Linked DNA regions of Caenorhabditis elegans. The protein of the gene in region 3 interacts with the protein of the main gene of each other region in a pairwise test. Each region holds a gene or a part of one and is shown on either strand. Other genes may lie near its edges.

Region 1 (3,753 bases), on a different chromosome or scaffold from region 3:
GCCAGTGTACGAATTTTCGGATGCTGCCGGTCATTACAAATGCAAATAATTGGAATTTTAGACTCCTTGATAATTTGGATGAGCTCAGAGATCTGTAAAAATAAACATTTGAATATTAATATATTAGTTCTTCATTTAAACTCACACCAGCTCGATCCTCATTTCCAGACATTCCGTCGACTTCATCCATAATCAGGATATGATGAACCTTTTGATTATCTTGTGGAGCACACTTTTTCGCTCCGAAAAACTGCTCAATTTGATGAGAACCAGAGAGTTCGCCAATTTTCGCTTCGAGATGTTTCTTACTACGCACATCTGATGCATTCATTTCGACAAGTTGAAGGCCCAGTTGTTGACAAGCCATATAGGCGCATGTAGTCTTTCCAACTCCAGGAGAACCCGATAAAAGAGCTGCTTTGAATGATGTACCATCTTGAGATGACATCCATGGAGCTGGTTTTGCTGAAAATTGCCGATAATATTATAATAAAATAGAAATAAAATTACTTACGCTTCTTAATTTTTGCCCCTTCGCCAAGATTGTGTTTTGCCCAGTCTTTAATCCATTCCAAAAGCTTATTAATTGGGCTTTTGTCTCCATTCTGGCCAACAAGTTCTCCCATCCTTTTCGGCTTATACTTATCAACCCATGAAAGTGCTGGGGGTGGCCCACTTGGTTTCGGTTGAAAAACGACTGATGACGTGGAAACTTGACTCGACGAAGATGACTCGGAGGTTACTTTCGGTGGATCTTTTTTCACTGATAACGCCTTTTTCTGTGGAGTTTCTTTTTCTTTTTTGACAGGAATTGATTGCTTCTTTGGGAATTCTTTTTTGACAGAAGGAAGCTCTTTCTTTTTCGGGGTCTCCTTTCTCTTTTCAGGTGTCTTCTTTTTCACAGTAATAGGAGTGAACGTGTCAAAACTATCATCAGAATCTACGAACTCATCGTCCGACACTTTCTTTGTTTTAGTGTTTTCTTTGGTCGACGGGCTGATCTCCACTGGCTTCTTAGCTGGCGTTTTTGGTTTTTCAACAGTTTTCGGAGCAACTTTTGGAAGTTTTGATGCAGATGGCGCTGGTGAGTTTTTGAAGAAGTCTGCGGGATTCACTAATGTTTTTTCGACTTTTTTCTTAGGATCATCACGTTTCGAAGATGACGAAGAAGGTTTGAACATATAATCCAGCGTTTTTTGACCAACTGGTAACTCCTTTTTTCCACCCTTTCTTTTCTTTTTTTCATCAGTTCCGCGCACGAGCTCGTCTTCGTCAGAGGTTATCTAAAAGCTAATTATTGCGATATTTCATGGATATTAGAGTGCTTTCTCACATCGCTCTCTTCTTTTTCTTGCTTTCTCGATCTTTTTGGTGCAGTCTTTTTTTGAGGTGCATTTTCTTCTTCTTCGTCGTCATCGGTTAGTACTACTGGCTTTGTCTGAAACATTTCTCAATGAGGGTTCAGTTCACATGAATTTCCGAACCCTTTTTTTCGCCGGTGTCGCTGCCTTCTTTTGCTTTTCCTGGGTGAATGGCATATCATCATCGGAATCTTAAAAAAAGAAATTTCGTAATACACATTTGCACAGAATGCAATTTGTTTTTTACCCGAAGAAACCACAATCTTTCTTTTTGTACTCATTTCCTTTTTTGAGGCGATCTTCCGTAAATGTCGAGGGATTGGATTCTCTCCGTCGGCTTAAAAAATATAATTTTTGTTGGGGATTAAAAACTATAGAAAGGCTTACAAAAATCGCCAAAATCTGGGTGTATTTTCGTAATTTTCGGTTTCGAAAAAACGATCGAAAAGCAGGAACAATCTTGAGGAGCCAAAATGAAAAAGAATGAAAAAAAAAGTTTTAAAATTTAAAAAACTGAGCGGGAAAAGCAAATTCCAACAGAGCGTATTTGCATTTTTGAAATCGTGCCGAGGCCTTATTCGGCTTATTCGTAATGTCCCTTTAATTTCTACAGTATGAAAATTGCAATTTATTTTTCATAAATTTTTAAGATTCCTTGCTATTTTCCGTTCAAGAAATTCGTTACATATCTTCCCGATTTTTTGTTGATAAAAAATTAAATTCTCGTCTTATTTCAACTCAAAGATCCTATATAAAACTGATAATTCTCCTCGCACGAATCACGTTATAAATCTGAATATAAAATTCTGAATATCAAAGGGTCCTCATCTTTCCCCCAAAAAGTGCCCAATGCTTCCCCGCCCATCATTTTTTTCTTCATCGTCTGCGTTTGCAATCTCTCTTTCCGCTTGCCTCACTTTCTCCTGTCCCCCACTCTCCTCGTTACACTGTGTGCGGACGCAAATGTATTTGCGTGTACAGCTGACCGAACTTATTCCTGCAAAACCGTCGAAAACTGAAGCTTTTTCTCAAAATATTCGAATCATTATAGTCTGTTTATTTATGTTTGGAACATAAAATTGTAATAATTTATGCCGAAAGCTTCATTTTCTGTTTTTTTTTCTGTAAAACTGAATTGTTATCAATGCACAAAAACTCAGCAGCACCTTGAATAGCTTTTGTTTTTTAGTTTTGTTTTGATCGTCGTTATCTCTATTGTTATTGTAAATATAAATTATGTTTTTGCATGTTCACTCACAGCCAGCTCTTTCCAGATTGCACATCCCGCATGGAGTCGGATCAAGAAATTCAACTGGAAGAAGTACGAACAGAAAAAGGTGATAATCATTATCCATTTCTGTTCTTCATTGTCCACGTCTCTGTGCTCATTTCTTTGTGCTCTTTTCAACGCCTTTATCGACCTCATTTGGTTTGAATGGGATGGTATGGCCGGCCTACGTTTCTTTTCTTTTTTGTTTCGGATTTGAATGGTGTTTGGTTGTCTTAAATATTCTCCTTGAAACATTTTAAATTCCAGAAAAATGCTTTGTTTTTTGCTCCGGTTGATCTCAGTAGAATTGTCCAGTCATAAAAAAAGCTTCAAGTTTGTCTAAAATCTCCACTGAAATTCACTATTTTTCTTGAATTCAACTCCACTCCTCCTCTTCTTAATGTCTATTTCTGGGGCATCTTCTGAAAAAAGCCTTCCTAATCACAAAATTTCAGGTCGCAAAAACGCCTCGGCCCAAAATCCGGTCAAAATGGCCAGATTGGCCCTCGACTTCCTCTTCTTTCGGAGGTTCTGGCGTCTTCTTAAAATCCTGTTTCCATGTCATCGTCGATCGATAACCGCGTGGCTCGCCGGAGCACTGCTCATCGCAACTGCTCTCGATCAAGTAATGACGTATTTAGTTGGAATCCAGCCAAGTCTGTTCTACGTGGCACTGGGAAACAAGGATGCTGACACGTTTAAAATTCTGTGTGCACGGGGAGCCGCGATTATTCTTGGAAAAGCTTTTGTAAGATCGAAATTCGATATTTTCTCATCCTAATTAGCGTTTAATTTCAGACATTAGCAGTATTCAAATATCTTACAAATATGTTAGCGATCAAAAGTCGTCAAGTATGTAATCTCACGATGCATAGGTTATATTTCAAGAGACAAGCTTTCTTCAAGCTATCTTCTTCTGGGGATATGCTTGATAATCCGTAAGTTTTTTATATAAATTAATTTTATAAAATCAAATAATATTTTACAATTTTTCTTTTAATTGAAAAGCTGACTATGAGTTTTTAGATTTTTCGCTTAATTTGGAAAAAACCAAGTTAAGCTAGAATTTGAAATTTGTTCAACTTGTCATTGTCGCAACAGCTAAAATACAGCTTAGAATAA
Region 2 (3,753 bases), on a different chromosome or scaffold from region 3:
ATTTATAAACCTTCTCAGAAGTCATACTCGACATTGTAATAATATCAGTCGGGTCATGCTCCAGCTCTGTTCTCACTAGCGGCTCCGGAATCGGTGCAGACTTCCGCCTTCGCTTCGAGAAACGACTCGGCTTCGGAACATTCGGATTGACACGTTTCGCGTATAAAATTCGCCCAATCATATGAAAAGCTTCTTCTCGATTCGCTTTCGATGCACATATCACACTATTTCCACTTCTTCTATCAGCATTCGGTCCAATCGAATTCATCTGTAACATATTCATAGCGATTCTCAAATCGCCTCCAGCTTCCTCTCCGATCACATTCAGCTTTGCATCGGATAGTGGGGAGCTCAGGCAGTTTGAAGCGCGGACGAGTGCTTTTTTCATGAAGGAGTCAGCAACTGGGTTGAATGTTACTGTATCTATTCCATTCATCTGAAAGAAAAAAAAAGGATTTTTTGCTTTAAATTGCTTTAAAACACGCCTATGGTGTCACAATGACCGAATATCATGATTAAAAAAAATTAAAAAATTGTTCTAGATTTTATATGATTTTTTGAAAATTGGAAAAATCTCAGTTTTCCCCTCATTCCTATTTGAATTTCCGCCAATTGGATTTGTTCGGTGGAGCGCGCTTGCATTATCTTAATTTCCTGATTTTCTTCATTTTACATATTTTTTATCGGAAAATGAAAGAAATAAACAAGAAAAATGCAAAATTTTTGTTAAAAAGTATTTGAAAATGCATAAAACTGTGAATTAGCATATATTTTATAGTTTTACGCATTTTCAATTACTTTTTAATAAACATTTTGCATTTATCCTGTTTATTTCTTTCAATTTCCAGTAAAAAAACATATAAAATGAATAAAATCAGTCAAATAATGAGAATAAATAAAATTAATTAATTAAAATAATGCAAGTGCGCTCCATCGAACGAGTTCAATTGGCGGCAATTCAAATAGGAATTAGGGGAAAACTGAGATTTTTCTAATTTTCCACAAATGGGCATGTTTTAAATCAAATTAATTTAATTTAATTTTCCTCAACTACTAACAATGTTAAAGTCCTTGGTAAACAATCGATCAGGGTTCAAATTCCAGCATGCAATACTATTCGTGAGGCAGAATATCACGGGATGCCAAATATGTTGCAGAACTTCTGACAAATCTTCTCGAAACTTCTCAGCATCACTATAAGCTTGATCAGGCAGCTCTGTGACGAGAAGAAGCCGCTTTTTCAAGCCACCACCCCGCAAGCTTCCATGTCTCCGCAACAAAAACCTCCGCAGCTGGGTGAAATCCGGCTTTTCACACTCGAAATCTTCATTGTGAAGATATTCTGGCGAATATTCGATGATTTCGATATTCTGCTCTGTGCACATCACTTCGACAGTCGTCGATTTGCCTGAAAATATTAAAAAAATTTTTTAAAAAATTTGTTTTAATTAATAATAACCCGAGCCAGCTGGTCCTGTGAGGTACATCACTCCTAGCTGCTTGTTTGACTCAGAAAATACATTTTTGAGCCAATGATCGACCTGAAAATACAATTGTTGCGACTTTTAAAGCTTAATTGAGACTAATCTCACCTCTGCAATCTTTTTATTGTGGATTTGGAGCTCATCTCGTCGCCGTGGAGCAAGCTCAATTGTGAGCAAATCGTGTTCAGCGGCTTTCATTGGAGAATTTCAACTGGAAAATCAATTTTTTTACAGAAATTAATGTGGAAAAGCCTTTTAAAAGGAGAGAAGAAACTAAATTCAAGTTTCCCGCAAGGACGAGAAACGCGCAAAGAAAGTTTGCTGGCGCAAATCTGTACGCTGACGCACTATCGGTGACCTGCACCGGACGGCTGTTTTTTTTTTGTTTTTTGAACTGTTTTTCTGGAGGCAAACATTGTTTTTTTTTGTTTTTTGATGCCTAAACTTTAAAAAATAGCCTTCTAGAATATTTTTTAATTAATTCTTAATCTTTTTCAGATAAATGGCGGACGCAGAAGCTGCTGCCACACACCCGGACCATGGGCAAGCTATTCCAACCGCCAAATCCATCCCAGACGGCGGAAAAGTTGTCGATCCGATCGACAGATACACGGCTCTAGCCGTACGGGTAAGAATTGGGAATTTAAAACATCAAAAAACATCACCAATTTTTAATTGCTTGTTTAGGGCGCAATCGTCGGTGTCGGTCTCGCCGGAGTCATCATCTATTTGAGAAACTCGAGATTGGTAAGAATTTCTCGCAAAAAAATATTTCTACTGAAAAATCATCGTCATCATAATGTTGCAGTTCCACAAATTCCAACATGTTAATCAAATTCCCAAGGATTTCATTCGAAAGGAGCTGGAATTAAAGGGACGAGTACGTGAGGTACTTCCAAGTGGAGAACTTCGTGTCGAACATGAGCCAATTATGAAGATTCCGTTCCTTCCAAAGCGAAAGAATGTCGATACGGGCCTTCTGAATCTGCGGCTGGCCGGTGTAGAGCTCTCTCAATCTGGACAGCAATTTTTGGCGAAGGATTTGAGGCTTACCAATAAACCCGTCACTTTTACCGTTATTAAGGTATGTAAAACATGCATATGGGGTCACAATGGCCGAATATCATGATAAAAAAATTCAGAAAAAATTTCTAGATTTTATATAATTTTTTTTTGAAAATTGAAAAAAAAATCCCAGTTTTCCCCTAATTCCTATTTGAATTACCGCTTGGAGCGCGCTTGCATTATTTTCACTAAATTATTTTATTTATTCTCATTATTCCTCTGATTTTCTTCATTTTCGGGGGGTTTTAATCGGAAAATGAAAGAAATAAACAAGAAAATTCACTGAAATTGCCTAAAACTGTGAAATTATGCGTTCCAACGACGACGAGCCTGAAATCAGTGTGTATTTTACAGTTTTAAGCAATTTCAGTGCTTTTTCTAGTTTATTTCGTTCATTTTCCGATAAAAAAACCCCAAAAACTGAAGAAAATCAGTGAAATAATGAGAATAAATTAAAAAAATAATGCAAGTTTCAAATAGGAATTTTTCAATTTTCAAAATCAAAAAATCATATAAAATCTAGAGAAAATTTTTTAAAATTTTTTTATAATGATATTCGGTCTTTGTGACCCCATAGGCGTGTCTTAAAGCAAATTCCCCACATTTTTTACCTAAAATCTTTAATTTAGGACGTAGAAGGAGCTCCGGACGCTGTAGACGCCGATGTTACCGTCAAAAGAACAGCATTTGGCCGTACTAATCTCAATCTGGAAGTTGTCCGCCGAGGCTATGCCCGTGTCCCAGCTCCGGATCAAGTTAAGCATTTGAAGTCGCTGCAGACGATTCCGGCTTACTCCAGGCTTATTAGTAGGCTTCTTATGAGTGAAAAGGTGCGGAATAATCGGATTGGAAAAAAATTATATAAATTAATTTGCAGGTTGCCGATCGTAGAGGAGTCGGAGTATGGGAGCGTGATACATGGGTGGAATCCGTGCAGTCGTACCCATCGCAAGTGACAGGAATTATTCGTTCAGCCGCTATTACCAAGGCTGTGGTATGTTTTTTATTGGAAAATTTACAAAAATAGTAATTTTTTTAATTGGAAAATTTCCAAAAAAAAATCCGCCGAATTTCTTTTCCAAAACTTTTTTTTTCGTTCAAAGTTTATGTTTAAGATAATTCCAATTAATTAATTCTCCTGTTTTAATCACATTGTTGTTTTCTTCAAAAGAAAAACTGAAAAATTACTTTTAAAAAATGAAAA
Region 3 (3,753 bases):
GATGAAAGAATTTTTGGGAGCAGGAGGAGGAGAAGAAGAAGGACACAAACATACAGGAAAAGAGCAAACAGAGACAGTGAGCAAGTGTGATCAGGAGCAGGTACACGGATTATAAGCACTGAGACACATTGACTCGATCAAATTTGAGTACTGATCAGACGGTGGACTTTCGAATTGACCCCACTTTCTCTAATATTAGTACAGAGTCAGGAAGCTTCAATTGAAATCATATGGAAAATGAAGCAGAGCTATAGTAGAAAAGAAATTCACAATGAAATGGGATTCAAAATTGCCTCAATTCAAATTCTCACACAAATTGCTTGAGACAAAAAAGCTCTTGAAATTGGATACTTCCACTTCTTCAGCTTCATACCAAAAATGAAAACTGCTCAATGGGGCGAGATTACTTAGAAAATGGAAGGGGAGCCGAGTCTTCAAGGAGCGAAAATCGATGGGCGACAGAGGGTGAAAAACTGAGCGGAGAGCAAAATAGTTGGGAGGGAACTAGTAGTTATTTATTCCAAACTATCCTATTCGATATTTTGTATTCAACTGAAAAAAAACCTAAGCCGAATTGTACCTTCAAAAAAATATAATAATCTCAATGTTTTGTCGAAATTTGAGCACAAAACTATTGTTTATAGAATGTTAAAATTTATATATAGTACACGTGAATTTTGAAGTTGAGAAATCAATGGGCAAATTGAAACCGTATTGTGTTAATTTATCATTGGATAGTTTCACGAAGAGTGAGCAGAAAGTCGAGGAGATTGTTTTCCAAATCACATCCATCCAAAATTCGCTTTTCGCAAGTCTGAAATTGAACTTTCATTTCTATTTATGTATTCATCTTCCACCAACCGCAACCAGTTTCCCCATTACTCCAATATTCTCGTCATTGATAACATCTTCATCCATCAACTGTTGGAAACAACGACGAATGAAAGCAACACCAGTGCACGATTTTGTGATATCCTTTGTCAATGCAATTATTTGGGGAACATCAGCAGTCAGGATTGATTTGCAAACGTTTGAAATGAGTAAACTGTCCGAAGAACCACGGAGATAGCAATTTCGAGCATTGTCATCGCCCTGGAAATATAAAGTACTATTTTTACACAATATTTATAGAAAAAACAACTAACACTTTTCAAAATTGGAGCCAATGACTGAAGTGTACATACAGCTCGTCTCAAATCACCTTCTGAATATTCCATAACTTGTTTCAGTTCATCATCACTCATGGGAGTTCCTTCTGCATCACAAATTGTTCTCAATCTAAAAACACCGAAAGTTATAAAAAACACTTAATTTTGAAATTTCACCTTTGAACTTGAATCTCGGCTGGAAGTGATTTGAATCGGAACTTGGCACAACGGCTCACAACTGGAGGAATCAATCGGGAAACATAGTTGCAGATGAGAATGAAGCGAGTAGTTTTGGAAAAATCTTCAATAACTCTGCGCATTGCTGCTTGTGCTTCTCGGGTCATCGCATCAACTTCATCAAGTATGATAATTTTCAATTTGAGAACATCTTCCCTATGGCTGTGGCCCAAAGATGACTTGGAGAAGGATTGAATCTAAACAGGAAACGTTTTTATAATTATGGAATTCTTAATTAATTAAAAATCAGTGGCAATCTTACTTTTTGACGAACAACTGCAATACCACGCTCGTCCGATGCATTCAAATCAAGAACCCTATCGCTGAAAATATAATTATTGGAAAAAATTATCACCCAGTATTTCACTTACTGGAAAATATTTTTTGGGAAGAGTTGGCGGCAAAATGCAAGAGCTGCTGACGTCTTACCAGTACCTGGTGGTCCATAGAACAAAAGATGTGGTAACTGAAAAATTAAAACGATTAGTTTGAATAATTTTTTAAGCAATACGTCTCTTCCTTGAAGCGCTCCTTTCAGCATTGTGACGACTTCATCCTGGTATGCAATATCGTCTAGCGTTTTTGGACGACTGAAAATTTGAATTTACTTTGCAAATCGAAAAACAAAAAACTAACTATTTTTCTGTCCAGGTGAGCACCTTTGGTCTTTTATTGTCAACTTCCATTGGTTCTTCCATTGTTTCTGTTAAATTAATGAATTTTTCATAAAATAAAGACATTATACAATATAAAAATGAAGAATTTATTGAAAATAAACTGCCAGAGAGAAAAAGTATGCAACACTCCCGCCGAGAGTGTTTGAAATGGTGTACGGTACATTTTCGTGCTAGGAGTTAGATGTGCAGGCAGCAACGAGAGGGGGAGAGATTTTTTTGGGCCTTGTGAAATTAACGTGAGTTTTCTGGTCATCTGACTAATCATGTTGGTTTTTTGTTGGTTTATTTTGTTTTTATCTTTGTTTTTATCCAGATTAGGAAATTTAAATTTTATGAATTTATAATGAGGTCAAACATTCAGTCCCAGCGTTTTTCCTGTTCTCACTGTTTAGTCGAATTTTTATTTTAGGCTTTCAACAAATGTTCTAACTGTCTTATTTGTGACCTCACTTTTTATATTTTTTTAATTTTTAAAAATATTAGAAGTTTCTAGGATAATTTTTTCGACTTTTATTCTCTCTACCGTCCGCACTCTTCTTACTTTTAAATTAAATTGTTTTTTTTTCAGTTGGGAAACACTTTGCTCACTCCGTAGCAGCCATGGGAAAAGAAAAGGTTCATATCAACATCGTCGTCATCGGACACGTCGACTCCGGAAAGTCCACCACAACTGGACACTTGATCTACAAGTGCGGAGGAATTGACAAGAGAACCATCGAGAAGTTCGAGAAGGAGGCTCAGGAGGTAAATAGTACAAACAACTAGTTTGAAAGATTTTCTCACCCGATTTTTTTCAGATGGGTAAGGGATCTTTCAAGTACGCTTGGGTCCTCGACAAGCTGAAGGCCGAGCGTGAACGTGGTATCACCATCGATATCGCTCTCTGGAAGTTCGAGACTGCCAAGTACTACATCACCATCATCGATGCCCCAGGACATCGTGATTTCATCAAGAACATGATCACTGGTACGACTTTGTTAAATTTTTAGCTCGTTTATAAAACTTTAATTGCAGGAACATCCCAGGCCGATTGCGCCGTCTTGGTCGTCGCTTGCGGAACTGGAGAATTCGAGGCCGGAATCTCCAAGAACGGACAAACTCGCGAGCACGCTCTTCTTGCCCAGACCCTTGGAGTCAAGCAACTCATCGTTGCCTGCAACAAGATGGACTCCACCGAGCCACCATTCTCTGAGGCCCGTTTCACCGAGATCACCAACGAGGTTTCTGGATTCATCAAGAAGATCGGATACAATCCAAAGGCTGTTCCATTCGTCCCAATCTCTGGATTCAACGGAGACAACATGCTTGAGGTCTCCTCCAACATGCCATGGTTCAAGGGATGGGCCGTTGAGCGCAAGGAAGGAAACGCTTCCGGAAAGACCCTCCTCGAGGCTCTCGACTCCATCATTCCACCACAACGCCCAACTGACCGACCACTCCGTCTCCCACTCCAGGATGTGTACAAGATCGGAGGAATCGGAACTGTTCCAGTCGGACGTGTTGAGACCGGAATCATCAAGCCAGGAATGGTCGTTACCTTCGCTCCACAAAACGTCACCACTGAAGTCAAGTCCGTTGAGATGCATCACGAATCTCTTCCAGAGGCCGTCCCAGGAGACAACGTTGGATTCAACGTCAAGAACGTCTCCGTCAAGGATATTCGTCGTGGATCCGTCTGCTCCGACTCCAAG

Evidence for each region.
Region 1: the proteins of rfc-4 (region 3) and rfc-1 interact in a two-hybrid assay, tested with the Caenorhabditis elegans proteins (3 studies listed by BioGRID).
Region 2: the proteins of rfc-4 (region 3) and hpr-17 interact in a two-hybrid assay, tested with the Caenorhabditis elegans proteins (3 studies listed by BioGRID).

The regions. Positions count from the first base shown.
Region 1 is NC_003283.11:14,644,104-14,647,856, forward strand, and holds the start of rfc-1 (Replication factor C subunit 1), read right to left. Parts: upstream 1,877-3,753; 5' UTR 1,749-1,876; intron 1,699-1,748; 5' UTR 1,643-1,698; coding exon 1,609-1,642; intron 1,553-1,608; coding exon 1,485-1,552; intron 1,439-1,484; coding exon 1,334-1,438; intron 1,291-1,333; exon of another isoform or gene 1,284-1,290; coding exon 515-1,283; intron 466-514; coding exon 146-465; intron 93-145; coding exon 1-92. Other genes in the region: pmp-3 (ATP-binding cassette sub-family D member 4), read left to right, coding at 2,650-2,698, 3,087-3,379, 3,430-3,569.
Region 2 is NC_003280.10:13,155,353-13,159,105, forward strand, and holds the start of hpr-17 (uncharacterized protein), read right to left. Parts: upstream 1,696-3,753; 5' UTR 1,683-1,695; coding exon 1,593-1,682; intron 1,542-1,592; coding exon 1,460-1,541; intron 1,409-1,459; coding exon 1,059-1,408; intron 437-1,058; coding exon 11-436; intron 1-10. Other genes in the region: F32A11.1 (Mitochondrial import inner membrane translocase subunit Tim21), read left to right, coding at 1,987-2,112, 2,172-2,231, 2,293-2,568, 3,179-3,379, 3,427-3,543.
Region 3 is NC_003281.10:6,970,590-6,974,342, reverse strand, and holds rfc-4 (Replication factor C subunit 4), read right to left. Parts: upstream 2,091-3,753; 5' UTR 2,084-2,090; coding exon 2,022-2,083; intron 1,976-2,021; coding exon 1,897-1,975; intron 1,852-1,896; coding exon 1,757-1,851; intron 1,709-1,756; coding exon 1,648-1,708; intron 1,583-1,647; coding exon 1,326-1,582; intron 1,279-1,325; coding exon 1,146-1,278; intron 1,093-1,145; coding exon 862-1,092; intron 815-861; coding exon 728-814; 3' UTR 626-727; downstream 1-625. Other genes in the region: eef-1A.1 (Elongation factor 1-alpha), read left to right, coding at 2,663-2,806, 2,860-3,028, 3,077-3,753. UniProt on the Caenorhabditis elegans protein: The elongation of primed DNA templates by DNA polymerase delta and epsilon requires the action of the accessory proteins PCNA and activator 1. This subunit may be involved in the elongation of the multiprimed DNA template.